Linked DNA regions of Diceros bicornis minor. The protein of the gene in region 1 interacts with the protein of each later gene in a biochemical or structural test. Links are inferred from orthologs where the notes say so. Each region holds a gene or a part of one and is shown in the gene's direction. Other genes may lie near its edges. The genes, in order: PRKCB and RASGRP3.

Evidence for each region.
Region 2: of the proteins of PRKCB (region 1) and RASGRP3, one has a biochemical effect on the other in vitro, tested with the Homo sapiens proteins (2 studies listed by BioGRID). The link is inferred for Diceros bicornis minor from reciprocal best matches to the Homo sapiens genes PRKCB and RASGRP3.

What each region holds. Positions count from the first base shown.
Region 1 is NC_080765.1:27,956,416-27,963,884, reverse strand, and holds the start of PRKCB (protein kinase C beta type), read left to right. Parts: upstream 1-4,407; 5' UTR 4,408-4,545; coding exon 4,546-4,718; intron 4,719-5,730; coding exon 5,731-5,762; intron 5,763-7,469. UniProt on the Homo sapiens protein: Calcium-activated, phospholipid- and diacylglycerol (DAG)-dependent serine/threonine-protein kinase involved in various cellular processes such as regulation of the B-cell receptor (BCR) signalosome, oxidative stress-induced apoptosis, androgen receptor-dependent transcription regulation, insulin signaling and endothelial cells proliferation.
Region 2 is NC_080751.1:49,879,542-49,887,516, reverse strand, and holds the start of RASGRP3 (ras guanyl-releasing protein 3), read left to right. Parts: upstream 1-4,736; 5' UTR 4,737-4,827; coding exon 4,828-4,897; intron 4,898-5,882; coding exon 5,883-5,985; intron 5,986-7,791; coding exon 7,792-7,854; intron 7,855-7,975. UniProt on the Homo sapiens protein: Guanine nucleotide exchange factor (GEF) for Ras and Rap1.

The sequences.
Region 1 (7,469 bases):
GCCACATAGAATAGAGGTGAGCTTTTATTTAGATTATCTAGTTTTTAAATGAATTTATTTAATATTATCTTAAATCTACTCTTTAGAACAGAGGTGTCCAAAGAAATATGATGTGAGCCACATACATAATTTTACATTTTCTAGTAGCCACATTAAAAAAGTAAAATGAAACTAATTTTAGAGAGAAATTTGATTTAGGCCAATACATCCAAAATATTATAATTTCAATATACAATGAAGATAAAAAAATATTTGTGAGATATTTTACCTTCTTTTTCTTACTAAGTGCTTGATATTTTGGGGTGTATTTTACACTTATAATCACATTTCAATTCAGACTAGCTACATTCCAAATGCTCAATAGCCACATGTGGCTAGTGACTACTATATTGGAGAGTGCAGCCTTAGAAGGAAAGATTTGGAGGCAATCTGCTACATCTCTGCCCCTGTCTTACAGAGGAGGAAAGTGAGACACAGAGGAAGGAAATGACTTGCCCAGGGTTATGCAATGTAGTGAGTTGAATGGTGGCCCCCCAAAGATATGTCCCTGTCCTAATTCCTGGAACCTGTGAATGTTACCTTGTTTGGAAAAGGGTTATTACAGATGTAACTAAGTTAAGGATCTTGAGATAAAGAGATTATTCCAGATTATCTGGGTGAACCCTAAATCTAATGACCAGTGTCCTTTTAAGAGAGACACAGAGGAGATGAGACAGACAGAAGAGGAGACGACTGACACACAAAGAGAAGTTGATGTGAAGATGGAGGCAGAGATGGGAATGATGTGGCCACAAGCCAAAGAAGCCAAGGAATGCTGCCAGCCACCAGAACTTGGAAGAGGCTGGGAGGGATCCTTCTCTAAAGCCTCCAGAGAGAGTAGGGCCCAGCAGACAACTTGATTTCAGCCTTCTGGCCTGCAGAATTGTGAGAGAATAAATTTCTATCATTTTTAGCCAATTAGTTTTGTGATAATTTGTTATGGCAGCCACAGGAAACTAATATATACAGCAAGTTTGAAGCCTAGATTTAAGAGACCTTGGACTCCACTCTAAGCCAGAGCAACCTGCTTCCTCAATGCCTCTGAAATCTTTCAAGTGGCCAGCATCCATTCCTTTATAAGCACAGTGGACCACATGGGGGCCCTGGTGACCTACAGGGCCTATGCCCAATCTATAGGGAGCTGCTGTCCTTTAACTCCGTGTGGCACCATGCCAAGTTATCGTCATCTCTTGCTCCGTCTATGCAAATGACCTCAACTGCACAACTTATTTCTACTCTTTCTCCCATTCAATCTATTTTCCTCATTGTAGCCAGGGTAATCTTAAAAACAAAACAAAACAAAACAAAAAAACCAGAGCCAGCTCTGATGGCCTAGTGGGGAAAGTTTGGCGCATCTGCTTCAACAGCCGGAGTGTGGTTCCCCGGCACAGAACCACACCACCCGTCTGTCAGTAGCCATGCTGTGGCGGTGGCTCACACAGAAGAACTAGAATGGTGCACAACTAGGATATACAACCAGGTACTTTGGGGAGGGAAAAAAAAAAAACCAGGAAGATTGGCAACAAATGTTAGCTCAGGGCAAATCTTCCCCTGCAAGAAAAAAAACCCAAAAAACAAAAAAAAAAACCTAAGTCATATCAGGCCACTCCTTTGCTCTCAACCCTCCAATGGCTTCCCATTCACTGGAGTGAAATCCGAACTCCTTACCCCGTCTGCAAGTCCTGCTGCCTTACTGATCTCTCTTGTACCCGCTTTTGCCTCTCTCTCCACTCCAGCCACAGAGGCCTCCTTGCTGTTTCTCCAACACGCTGAGCATGCTGCTCCTCCAGCTCCTTGCATTTGCTGTTTCCTACCCTCAGGTAGCCGCCTGGCTCACCCCCTTCCTTCGTTCAGCTCTAGCTCGGATGTCCCCTTGTTATAAAGCATTTCCCTGGCCACCGTCACTCTTTATTCCTTTACCATGCTTTGTTTTTCTTTACAGCGTGAATCTCCACACCACCTTGTATAGATTTGTTAGTTTAGTAGGTTATTGTCCATCTTCCCCTTTAGACTGTAAGCTCCATGAAGGCAGGGGCTTTGGACTGTTTTAACAACGTGTGGCACAGTACATAGCAAGTGCTCAATAAATTCATTGCTGAATGAATGAACAAATGAATGAGTGAGTGGAGGAATTCGGGCTCCATATAGCCGTATCTTTTTTCCTAGAGAAGTCAGAATCTGGATATTTAGGTGAAATTCTACCAAATGTGAACCAAAAAAAAAAAAAAATTGCTCGCTGGCTAAAAAAATGTATCCAAGGGCCACCAGTTTGAGACTGTTGCCTGATAGGGATCTGGGTCCAAAGGAAACTATGTTCCTCTATCCTCAGATGGTGCAGCCCCTCCAGGAACCGAATGGTTCTTCAGGATCCACCAGCCCTTGCATCTTCAGGCCCAGGCCTCATGAGGTACTGTTTGTTGTTATAGACCAAAGTCATCCAGAGCACTTTGTTCAAAAGGCAGGATGTGGGCTGCAAGCTTCCAGCTCATCGGTTCAAAGGAAATCTACTTCAGCAGCAATATCTCCTGGGATGTTTTCTCAAGCCTCCCTGGGAGGTGATGGGGCCTTTTAAAGGACTAATAATAGACAGGCACGTCCAGTTTCCCAAACATGTCAACCTTAAAAGTGAATGCTATTTTTGCCTTGTTACCTTTGAATTACTGTGTAGGGAAGGGACATTCTGTTAGGACAGCCATCGCTCTCCACATGCCACCTAATAATGACTTACCACTCAGCAGCTTCTGGGCAAAATTGTCATAGTGGGACCTGAGCTTCACTAGGCAGAAGTTCAGTGTCACTGGTGCAACTCCATCCTGCCCTTTTTCACCCCTTGAACATGAGTATGCTTTGTAGCCATCATTCAACGGTGTGACTTTGAGTGTATATCTTAATCACGCTGAGCATCACCGTCCTTATCCATAATGAAAGTTAGCGGACCTACACACGGTTGTTGGGAGAACTAAATAAGACAGTACAGGTACCTGACATACACCCAGCACCTGATGTTTATTATTATTGAACACCTACTGGATACAGGTGGGGGTAAAGGGTGCTGTCCTTTAAATTTACATTCACTCATTGGTTCGCACAATCACACACTCATTCAACTAATATTTATGGAGCTCTTAGAAGGTTTCAGGCACTGAGCTCGGTGCCGGATGACACAATGGCAAGCAGCTCCTGCCCTCAGAGCCTAGGTCTAGTCAAGGAGTTCGTAGTCTAATGCAGTGCTGTGTTCCCAGAGTGTGGGGCACCGTGGGGGGATGTTTAGACGTAGTGCATGGACAGGGCTCTAAATCACACTGCATTACCCATCTAACAATTATTACTCTTTTGATTATCTTTCCATTCTTCAGATTCCATCCAGGAGAGAGTCCCAGTTGGATGTTAGCGTGTCTTTAACATCTCTCTATTAGTTGTTAATCTCCCTTCTTAAGAAATAAAAGGCCTCAGACGCAGATGTTTTGGGCAGTTGGCAGCATCTGTAAACCCATACAAAGTTTACAGATTTGTATGGATACCTTTTGCTGTTCGAACTCAGAAACCAGATAGACTTTTTTCAGATGGTGCACAAATATGACCAGAATTTGTGAAGACGGGTCAGGAATGAATTAAAGTTGAGGAAATGCTGACCTATTAAGTTTCTCCCTCACCTCCTTTATTAGCCCCATTTTACAGTCGAGGAAACTGAGTCTCTTTATGGAGGGGATGGATAGGGAGGTAGGGAGTTCTCATCTAAATGGTCGGGCAAGCAAAGCCAAGAATTGTCTTTGTGGTGGAGTTAGACACATTTAAAATAAAGATTGCTCCTCCCCTACCTCTGCGGTACGTGTGTGCGTATGTGTGTGTAAGTGTGTGGAACCACAGGCCTTTCCGAGTGAGTGACAGCGGGAGCCCATCCCTACAGGAGACGGGTGCAGAATGACCAATGGGATGGATGGGGGTTGGATGGGTACCAGTCTGCAGAGGCCGGGGTGAAATCAGTCGCGCCCACCCTTTCCACCCCCTACCCCCGGCCCTCGTCGGGCCTTCCGGTCTCGGTTCCCCCGGGACGTGCTCATCTTCCTAAGGCAACCCCAGGCCAAGGACGGGGTAGGGAGCGAGGCTCAGGTCTGACGATCGCAGGCTGCGGTCCCCGCGCCGCAGCGCTGCGGCTAACACTTCTCTGGGAGACCGGCAGCCTCCGGGTGCCAATATGTAAAGCAGCTGGCGGCGCTGGGCGGGGCCTGGGGCGCGATGCAAATGAGGGAGGCGGGGTCTGCCCGGGCTCCGCCTCCCTCCCCCGCAGCTGGGGCCAGCGGTGCCAAGCGCAGCTGGACGAGCGGCGGCAGCTGGGCGAGTGACAGCCCCAGCTCCGCGCGCCGCGGCCGCCAGAGCCGGCGCAGGGGAAGCGCCCGCGGCCCCGGGCGGCAGCAGCGGCCGCCTCCCGCGCCTCCCGGGCCCGCAGCCCGCGGTCCCACGGCCCCGGGGCCGGCACCTCTCGGGCTCCCGCTCCCCGCGCGCAAGATGGCTGACCCGGCTGCGGGGCCGGCGCCAGGCGAGGGCGAGGAGAGCACCGTGCGCTTCGCCCGCAAAGGCGCCCTCCGGCAGAAGAACGTGCACGAGGTGAAGAACCACAAATTCACCGCCCGCTTCTTCAAGCAGCCCACCTTCTGCAGCCACTGCACCGACTTCATCTGGTGAGAGCGCGCCGGCGCAGGGCACCTTCCCGGGGTCCTCGAGGGCAGCGCCGCGCGCGGGGACCCCCTCTCCGTGCCCTCCGCGTCCCCAAGGGAGAAGCAGCCCCGCCGGGCTCGGCGTCCCCGGGCTCCTGGCTCCGGAGCCTTCTGCCCCGGACTCCCTGGTGGACAGTCCTGCGGGTTCCCTCTCCCCTCGGCCCCAGACGGCCGCCCGCGGGGCGCCTCCGGAGCGCCTAGGGGCCGCGTCGCGGGCGCCTTTTCTTCACCTGGTTCAGAGCGCGGGGTGTCTGTCCCTCCCTCGGAGGGCAGCGCCCCGGGTGCCCTCTCGCCCAGGGTTCCCTATCTCTCCGCCTCCTTCCGGGCTCGAGGCGCCCTCACCCTCTCCGCTCCTTTCCGGGGACAGCGTCCTGGGAGTCCTGGCTCTATCTCCCTGCGGGCATGGGGCATCCTTTCCTCCTCTGTGTCTCTGGGGGCTGCGCCTGTGTTATCTCCGATTGCGCCTCCCTGAGGGCCTGGGTTCTCCTTGCCACTTCTTAGTCTCCCCCCACTCACATCACTGCGGGCCCCTTTCTCCCCGCTGTCCCTCAAGGCATGGGGAGTCCTCTCTCCCTTCCCAGTCCCCCAGGGAACACCACCTCCCCCGGGTCTCTCTCATCCTGCCTCTGGATACATCTTTTTCTCTTCTCTTTCCCGAGGGTGCTCGGGCATCTCTGTGGGCAGATCTCCCGCCTGCCCTCCGCCCCCACCACGGAAACGCTCCCCCCATCCCGCCGCCTGGTGGTCGCAGCAACCTCCTCTCTTCTGCCTTCTGAGGGGAGGTGGGGGTTACCGCCGAGCTCCCACCTACTCCCCTCCCCCCAAAGGCGGAAGACTCTTGGGCACCCGCCTGTGGCTGGGAGGTTGCACCTGGGGTAGCGGGGCAGGGGTAGGAGGAAGGGGGGGTGACTGTGGGGGAAGTAGCTGGTGGCTGGGCCCCTCGGGCTGCCTGACATGCCTCCTTCTCTCTTCGCAGGGGCTTCGGGAAGCAAGGATTCCAGTGCCAAGGTAGGCTGTGGGGATCTGGGGATGCTGTTTGTGGGAAGAGATGGTGAAAAAGACTTTCTAGAAGTGACTGAGTTAGGCAGAGAGTGAAGGAATCACTTTTGTCAGAGTGACCTCCCATGCTAGGAATTCATCACCACAAAAGGGTCCTTTTAAGGGGTGTGTGTTTATGGGGCAGTGATGCTCCATCCAGGAAAGGCTGGTGGAGCTGGGAAGGCCTACAGGCCAAGGAAATGCATCCACCCTTTCCCCTGTCCCAGCTCCAGAAGAGTCAAAACGGGTCTCCTGAGCCTGTCCTGCCTGGCTAATCCTGCTTCTGGAGGAAGTGTCTCCAGGGGCCATTTCTGGGAGGACCCCTCCTCCCTAATTCCTGCTCACTTGCCCTTCCTCATGTCACAGAGTGGGATTCTGCTTCTTCTCCTGCCTCACAGAGGTCTCTGCAGGTGGCTGCTGCCTCTGCAGATGGTGCATCCCCTTGAAAGGTGACTGTGGTTGTCCCTGGGCCTCCTCCCTCTCTCAAAGAGGTGGTTCCAGATGGGCTGCCTCTCAGATCCTGCTTTAAATCACCCTTTCTATCTTCTGGCTAGATACAGGAGGGACTCCAAGTGGCTGGTCACCTGGGTCCTTGCATCTGGTTTGAGATCCTTGACCCTAGCTGGGGATGCCCAACCTAGTGGTGTCTTTTAATCATGTGTAAGGTGGCCTCACTGTCTCTGCTTACAGGTTTGCTCTCCAGGGCCAAATCACCGATAGTCTTGTTTAGCCCATAGGTGTCAAACGTTTTTTGAATTTGATGTCAACGTTTTTGAAGTGGGAGATTTCACATACTCATCTGAATTTCCAGCTTCGAGGTTGCTGAGGATTGGTCCCACTTTCTTGTCAGAACAATCATTTGGAGCTGAGAGCAGCTGTTTCCATAGACAAGGCGCATGTTCACCATTTTGTCTCAGTGCCTCCCCACCAGGCCTGCTTCACCCGTTTCTGGCACCTGTAGTCATTTGAGTTTGCAACTTCTGGTCTGGAGAGTCGTCCCCCCTGCCCCCCCTCCCCCAATTTGGGCCAGGCGTGGTTGAGTTTGGTGAGAAATGTCACATTTCTGGGGTATGTCCTAGGGGCAAATTGGCCGTCCTGGTGAGCAGGGTTTAGATGAGGAGAAGAAAGTGTTTGACTGTTAAGAAGTCTATGTGCCCTAGCACTGATTGACAGTCTTGTTGTAGCACCTCCGCCCTCCAGGGAAAAGTAAAGTGATCCCGGTGAGGGTGGGTGGCATTGTCAGCTGTACAGAATGCTCACAGCATGGCACTGCTGTCTTCTAAGGCTCTTGTGTCTTCTCCCTTGAGATCTGGGACAGGGCCGGCTCAGCCAGTGACCCGCCCAGCCTCTGGAGCCCCAATTTCATGCACTGCCTGGAGGACTTCCCAAATCCCTTTGAGTGGCAACAACTGAGGTCCTGGTGCAAACAGTTGGATTGTTTTCTAGAACTTTGTCTGACCCTTCAAGCAGAATACCAATGGTGTCTTGGTGCCGGAATGCGTAGATATTTGAGGTTACCTTTCGTTTCCATGAATCGGTTTCTGTCTTTGTCTCATGCTGAGGTCAGGATGATTTTTGAACATCTTTACTGCTACTCTCCTATCCCACCTGCTCTGCAGTTATTAATGGTTGGGAAAGTCATTTTAGAATGTGAGGATGATGACACATCTGAAGCAG
Region 2 (7,975 bases), on another chromosome or scaffold:
ATAAATAAATAAATAAATAAATAAAAATCTTATGTCTATGGTGAGAAAGGGAGATAAGCTTGAATGTTGCCGGAACAAAAAATGCTATGACACCTTAGTTCTTAATCCTTAAGGCTTAAAGATTTGTAATAATTACCACTCATTTTCACAAAGGATTTAGGCATTTAGAGAAACCCCCTTGTCTCCATATGAAGGGCATATGAATGTAAAGACATATCCATGGTCATATAGTTATAAAGATAATATCGGCCATTAGGAGGGAAGAGTCTTCAAGGGTTTTTGTTTGTTTCTTCTTGCAATAGAGATAATGCTATAGACAAGACTATCTTTGGAAGTTCTAATATGGCCAACATCATTTTAAAACTATTTGTTGAATACTTACTAGATATAATATTTCACCTTATAAATCCTTCAATCCTAGAGCCAGAAGCAACTTTTGCTGTCATTTTGGCATGCTTCCTAGACACCGTCTGGGAATTTAGTCTACAACATCTCTGACAGTCATTACCTTACTTTGGCTCAAGAACTTTCAGGAATGGGATTCCATTGCTGATGAGGCCACCTGCCCCACTAGTAGATGCTCTAGTGCCACAATATTTTTTCTCCCATTTTCTTTTACGTTCTCTAAACTAACATCTCTCTTTCTGTCACTTCTACACGTAGGTCCTCTACATCACCTTAAGTCCTCAACTTAAAAGCCTTTAAATATTGGAAGGGAAGAGGTAGTGCAGGCAAAAGGCAACACCTTTCCCAAGCACCCACTGTTTTGCAGGACACATGTGGGTGCATTTTATGTTACCTCACTAACTTCTTAAACAATCTAGTAGAGTAAGCAGAATTAATGGCATTTTACTCAGAGGTAAGTAAAACTTTCCTCATTTGTTTATCTAATGTTGAAATCCAATTTTTAATTACTCTAAAAGTTCTGAGTCAAGAGCCTGGGTGCTAATTTATATCTGTTGATGGATAGTTGCATGGAATTGGCTCCTTTTCACTATTTCTAAAATCGGGAGCATAGTCCTTATTGTCCCAGGCAATCTCACGAGGATTTTTTTTTGAAGATAGAGGCTTTGCCAGTCTTGTTAATCAAAGTCTTTTGCTGTATGAACTCATCATGGCTTTTGGAAATCACACTCAACAGAACTCTATTGCCCTTTGGAAGAGAGAACTTTTCTCCTAGAAATAATTCAAGCCCTGGGGAAATTTTGGCTTATTGTGTCCTTTTCAGATTTGTGAGAAATGTTGATGCTGGGGAACAATCATTTTCATTGCAGCCAGAGAGTACCTATCAACACTAAAGCAAGTCCTAAACCATTGGGAGACTAAACAGCCTGGACTAAAATAACATTGACATTCACGTTGAGACACTCAGGAGAGATTTAGATCAGAGTTTGATGATCACCACAACAAACTGTTTTAGAGATTTACTAACATTCCAAAGTCACTGTTTGGAAATTCTTAATGAGTAATCCACTGATATATGTATATTTGGACTAAAATAGTATTTTATACTATGTGTATAAATTTTGGTTTTGCCCCATTTGTAGGTTTTTAATAGGCTGAATTTTTGTTTAGCTACTTGATTTAAAAAATATCATGTCACCAAAATATTTTGAATATTTTTTGTTTTAATTGACTCTGTGGCTGAAGTTTAGACAAAATCTCAAAAACCACTTATAATTCAAGGGTTTTGGAAATTCTTTAACATAATGTGAATTCTTTTAGTTTTGTATTATTTAACTCTGTCTGGGGATTTCTTTCTGTTCTTTTATCAGGTTCTCCAAAGTACCTGTTATTCAGGCTGGATAAAAACTTCTATAGATTGTGTCCCCAGTGCATTTTCTGATGATGATAAGTGCCCTTAAAATTCTTTCAGACCTGAATATCTATCTGTGTGAAACTGATAGGTAAGTATTTCTTTAAACTATTGTAGATTATGTAAGAAACTCACCAAAATAAATGTGCCTAGAAAAATGAAAAGAAACATGCCATGATATTAACAAGTTATCTTTGGATGATGAGATTTCTTTTCCCTTACTATCCTATTTTAAATGATGAATGTATGTTGCTTTTACAATAAAGAAGGTTTATTTGTGAAAAAGCAGTTGTAGACACAATAATATCCACACATATGAAATGAGATCTCAGGTACATGTGTAGGTGACTGAATGCTAAGCAGGGATTCAGACACATCTACTGATTGCAGAAACAGATTGTAACCAGAGAGCTCGGCCCACCTGGCTCTCATGTGCTGACTCCTTGGCAGATCACAAATATAACTCCAAACAATGGTGACAGGTCTTTGGTAGCAGGTTATTTCTAACCCCTTGTAGAAGGTCAAAACCTTCCCCAAACAGATCAGGTGAATAATTTTGGTTTTGACCAGAGAAACTGGTTTAATTAATCTAGGCTGTTTGGTTCTAAGTAATATATTTACTACTCAGTAACAAGAGTTAACAAGATAAAAAATTCTGTATATACTATAAGGTAATCAAACTTGTCAATTGTCCAATGGGATTGGCAGAATTTATATTAGGGAAATCAGAGAAGTGCTGACCCAAAATGTCCTGGAAGAGGTTCTTATTATGAAAATAAGCAGACGCTATTAAGTCTAGAAAGCTGGCAGGAACTTCTGTCCCAGTGATGTTTGCTAAAAGCTGATTTAAATTAGTAAATCACATTTAAAAATAGCCTTTTAAAAATTTATAGTACACATTCATACAAATATACACCTATTCAAAGACAAAATTTTGACAATTTTCATTTTATTCATTTATTCATCCATCCGTCCACTCATTCATTAATTTAGCAAATGCTTTTTTGAGTATCTTCTACATCAGAGGCAAAATCTTGGGAGTTGGGGAGTAAACCAGAGAACAAACACAAAAATCCCTACGTTCATGGAGCTTATGTTTACAGTACTAGAGAGACTAAAAAACAAATAAAGTAAAATATATAGTATGTGAGATGGGGATACGTATTATGAAGAAAAATAAATCCAGGAAGCGAGGTAGGGCATGCCAAGTGGGAGGTGGGCACAGAGAAAGAAGTAGTGTTGTTTTAAATAGGATGGTTAGGAAAGGCCTTACCAATAAGGTAACTTGGTAGAAGAGATGGTTCCAGACAACTTTAATATCCCCCTTTCACAAATCATTTGAGCAGCAGAAGTGGGAGAGCATTGATCCAGGGTTCCTGTTATTTTTATTGCACATGTGAGATAACCCTTCTTTTTATGCTCTACGAGTAGTAGATTCAGCACAAGAATATGACTCTTACACAGAAATAATACACAGTAAACATTTTTCCTCCATAGTGATATGCCTGGTGAATAGATTCACTGAAATGCCACTCTTCAGTGGTCCTATTGAACTAATACAACCATACATATGGAAATTAGCTTTTTTCCCTGTTCCTTCATGTGTTTGCTTTCTGAAGTTGACTATGAGCCCATTGAAGACAGGGATGGGACAATGATTTGTTCATCTTGCCAGTCTCAATGCCTAGCCCAGTGCCTAGCATTTGTCAAGTGCTCAACGATTACCAGCTGAATAAATAAATTTTGAAAGTAAAAGAGACATTGACTTCAAACAGTTCATGAGATGAATTCCCAATGGCCACATTTACCTACTAAACTGTCCAAAGGGGATAACCGTCTTACATCCTGGTGACCTCTGGACCTCAAACCCTATAGGCACCTGGCATCAAGGACTTGCTCTGTAAAATAAGATGTTTGTGTGTCCCCAACAGGGATACTTTCTGTATAAGCAGCTCTAAGAGCTTGTTTCAAATCACTTTTTCCCCACAACAGTGCTATAAAATGGGACTGCTGTCATCCCCACATTTTTCTTCTACCTCTGTGACAGATAATCTGGCTTATATCCTTTCTCTGAGACGATGTGGAGGAATGATATTCATCACACTAGATTAAGGGGACAAAATTATGACAGCGTGTGATATCCACACTTCGGGGAATAGTAAAAGGGAAAAGGGAACCCCAAAGCTGTATTTTATAATAGAGTCCTGATTCTAGACCTTAATAATTGTGTGAGTTTTTTGGACAAGTTACTCAATCTCTGTGAATCCCATGATCTCATCTGTAAACTAGGAATAATAATTACTACCTCACAGTATTGTTCTGAAGGTCAAGTTGGATAATATATGTAAAGCATTTGGTATGGTGCCTGGTACATAATCTGGGTGTTCAACAGATTGTTGTTAATATTTTTACTACTACTACTAATACTGTTACTATTGGAAAACTTAGACAAAAAAGATTTTTTTTTAACCAGTTGTTGAACATTTATATGATCACTGAGGATAATGCTCATAAATATATTTGCACTTTAAAATTTATCTCCCTCTATATATTTGTAATAACATTAAACCATGTTTATAATATTCTTGAAAGTCTTACCACTTAAGAATATGAAGAAAGTATAAAATATGTATCAAAAAATATCAGCTGCAAAATGGGATGATGCTTAATAGGGAACATCTCCATGTTCTCAGAGCACCATACATGCTAAAGGACAACTTAGCAGGCATTTTGCCATCATGGTGGTTGATGCAATCTCTGTTGCTTTGATACTTTTCTTTTAGAAAGATACAGTCAATGAAAGTCATTATCTTTTCGGGTAGGAAAGTGACGCTTTAATGGGGTCTGAACTCTAGTCTGATAACTTTCTTTTCTTGTTTCTTTAGCATCTTGAAGTATAATTAAGGACAGAGACCACCACTAGGCACAAACATCACCAACTTGCATGATTATGGAGGTGGTCTGTCTGATGCTGAAAATGTCTCTAGTTTTTTGACAACGGTTGCATAACCATGGGGTCAAGTGGACTTGGGAAAGCAGCAACATTAGATGAATTGCTGAGTACTTGCATTGAGATGTTTGGTACGAGCCTTTTCTCTCTTTGTATATCTTGATACCATCACTTCCTCCTATTCAGATACAAATGTTTCTGTGGAATGGATTTCAATCTCCATACCTTGGTATTTAAGGTCTTTTTGATTGACCCTAATCCGTTTCCCCAGTATCGCTGATCTCTGCATTTCCTTCCTTTTACTGCCCACAGTTCATACTCCAGCCACACTGTCCACTTAATGTTTCTGGAACATTCTCTGCATCTTTCTACCTCCATGCCTTTCATTGAAAATCTGCTTCAGGGCTCATCTCAGATGTCATCTCCGATGTTCATAACACCATTCCTAACCTCCCCGTCAGGAATGCTGATTGCTTCCTCTGCCCTCCCACAGCCCCTTGTAACTTTCTGATAGCACATGGTATATGCTGCTGTGATCATTTCTTGGTCTTTTGCCTTAGACAAGTGTGGGTAGAACAATCTGCTGCATTCTATATTTGCATATATATCTTATATCTCCTACTAGATTATAGACTTTACAGCTATATGCTTTTTATGTTGTTTATGTGTTTTGGATTATTCCTTGCACAAATAGGGTCACAAAGGAGTTATTTGCTGAATTAATTGTTATAGGAAGAGTTAAACCAGAGTGGGGTTGCCAGATAAAAAATACAGGATGATCAGTTAAATCTGAATTTCAGGTAAACCATATTTTTACTATAAGTATGTCCTAAATAATACACGGGACATACTTATACTAAAAAGTTATAGGTGGTTTATGTTAATTCAAATTTATCTAAGTGTCCTGTACTTTTATTTGCTAAATCTGGCAACCGTAAACCAGAACGGTGAGACCGACCCACTTAACATGCAAGGAAATGCCAGCAGAAGTAGGAGGAAAACAGTAATTGGGTCTATGAGAAATTTTTGACACTAATGTTTCTCTACTGATATTAGAAAAAGAGAAGAGTAGTACTGTTGTCTCCTCACCACTCATTTTATTTTATTTTTTAACAGATGACAATGGAGAGCTGAATAATAGTTATTTGCCAAGAATAGTTCTACTAATGCACCGATGGTATTTATCTTCCACTGAATTGGCAGAAAAACTTCTCTGCATATATCTTTTCAACTACTGTGTAATTTTTACAATCATAAATCAAGTTCTGTATTTAGATAGAGTGTGTAACCAAAGCCAGTAAATTAAGATGAATAAACAGTCTTCAGTCAGTTATCCAGCTGTTTTGAGAATATATATAGATGGCTAGACAAAACATCTGGATGATGGACCAAATAGTTGACTATCCTTCTGGATGTTTTGGCTCCACTTGAAAATAGTCAGTAGATATAAAATGAAACAGGAGCTGTAGGCTGAATATTTCTAACTTGTCTTAAACACTTCTGCTGTTAGTACAATGCGAGAATATTTAACACTGATTCACGATCTAATTTATTTCTTTTAGGATGGCAAAATGATGGACCTAGAGGATACAGCTTAGGCATACGGAAATGCCAGCCAAAATAATATGATCTAGCTCAGGCATAAACACCACCTAAGTTTCCACATCTTCCCTTCCTGGCAAGACACAAAGAACATTCTAGCAGGTTTATTGTAATTTGTTGATTGATATTAATTTTAGATTTCCTTCTGCCATAAAAGCAAAAAAAAATAGTTAGAAACTCCTTCTATAATAAGGGCTTTTATCAGTCCGCCACTTTTGTACATAATGCAGTCCTGAAAGGTAGTTGAAAGCCAAATGACTGAAAATGGCAAAATAGTCTCACATTTATAAGGAGCTTTTATTCCGTGAGGTCTAAGGTATATTACGTAATCACTAATGTTGGTTCCTGCAGTCTCTGCCTACTTCAAGCCCAGGAGGCCCTGCAAATGGGTAAGAAGCCTTACAGGGCAGGGGATATCTGAGAGGGACAGGGTCCGTTAAGTGTTATTAGGGCCAAGTGGGGCTTCCACCTGCTCACTTCAAGCTTCCTCCACTTTCAACTTCTTCCCTTTATCCTCCCCACAACTCAGGGCAGAAGGGAATGTTACAGAGGATAATGGTACATTCACCCTAAAGAGGTCCCTGGAAGTGAACAAGATCCTAGTCCCCAGTGTTCCAACAGTTTCCGGGTCCTGCTATTGAGGGTAGCGCATAGGGAAGGATGGAGATGATTGACTCAGTCTGGCCCTATCCCTCCTCAGGATCCAAACATTGTCTAAGGAATGTACCCACAAACAGCGTTTTCATTAGTATGTCCACTGATGTATGAAACACAAATAAAAAAGGATATTTAGGCATAGTCAAGTCTACTATCTGCAAGTACAGATTGTATAAAAGTTGAAACTGCCTGTGAATCAACATTTCTTTAGATTTTCCTCCCTTTGGATTTCTTGCTCGCCACATATCCACAGCGCCTGGTAAATAGCAGGAGTTCAATAAAATTTTGTTAAAAAGAGTATGAATAAACAAACTTAAGAAGAAATTACAACACAACCCATGTATTAATATACCTAAAAATGACATTTTCAAATACCAAAGAAATTAGAGTACTTATATAAGGCATTAATCCTAAATACAAAATCATTTTGGCTCACATGACTATCAATTTTAAATTATCTATAATTGGCAGTATATTTGTAATTACAGTTGACAGTCATCACTTGGTACATGCTCAGAAAGGTAAAACTAATTTTATGTGCGTTCCCTTCCAGACCAAAAAATACATCACAGAGTAATAACACATCAAGTTTAAGTTATTCAGTGTTGATGTCATCAGAACCCACTTCTCTCCCCATTTGAACGTCCACATAACCCAAATGTCCCCAGTATGGCCCTCTTATTAGGAATTCATCTAAACTGATCAAACAGCTGAAGGTGTGTGTAAAGGAAACAAGATGCAAGGATTTTTTCTTTAACTAGTGTACGTATCGAAATGCCAGTGGAGAAAGTTGCAACGAATTTCGATTAAAGATCTGCTACTTCATAAGGTAAATATACTTACAAATTTAATTGTACTGTAGTTTCTGGTTCTGGAATTGTTGACAATTTCCTTTTCCCCAAGCAGCAGACCTAGTTTGACAACAGAATCAGCTCAGATCCTCCTTTTAT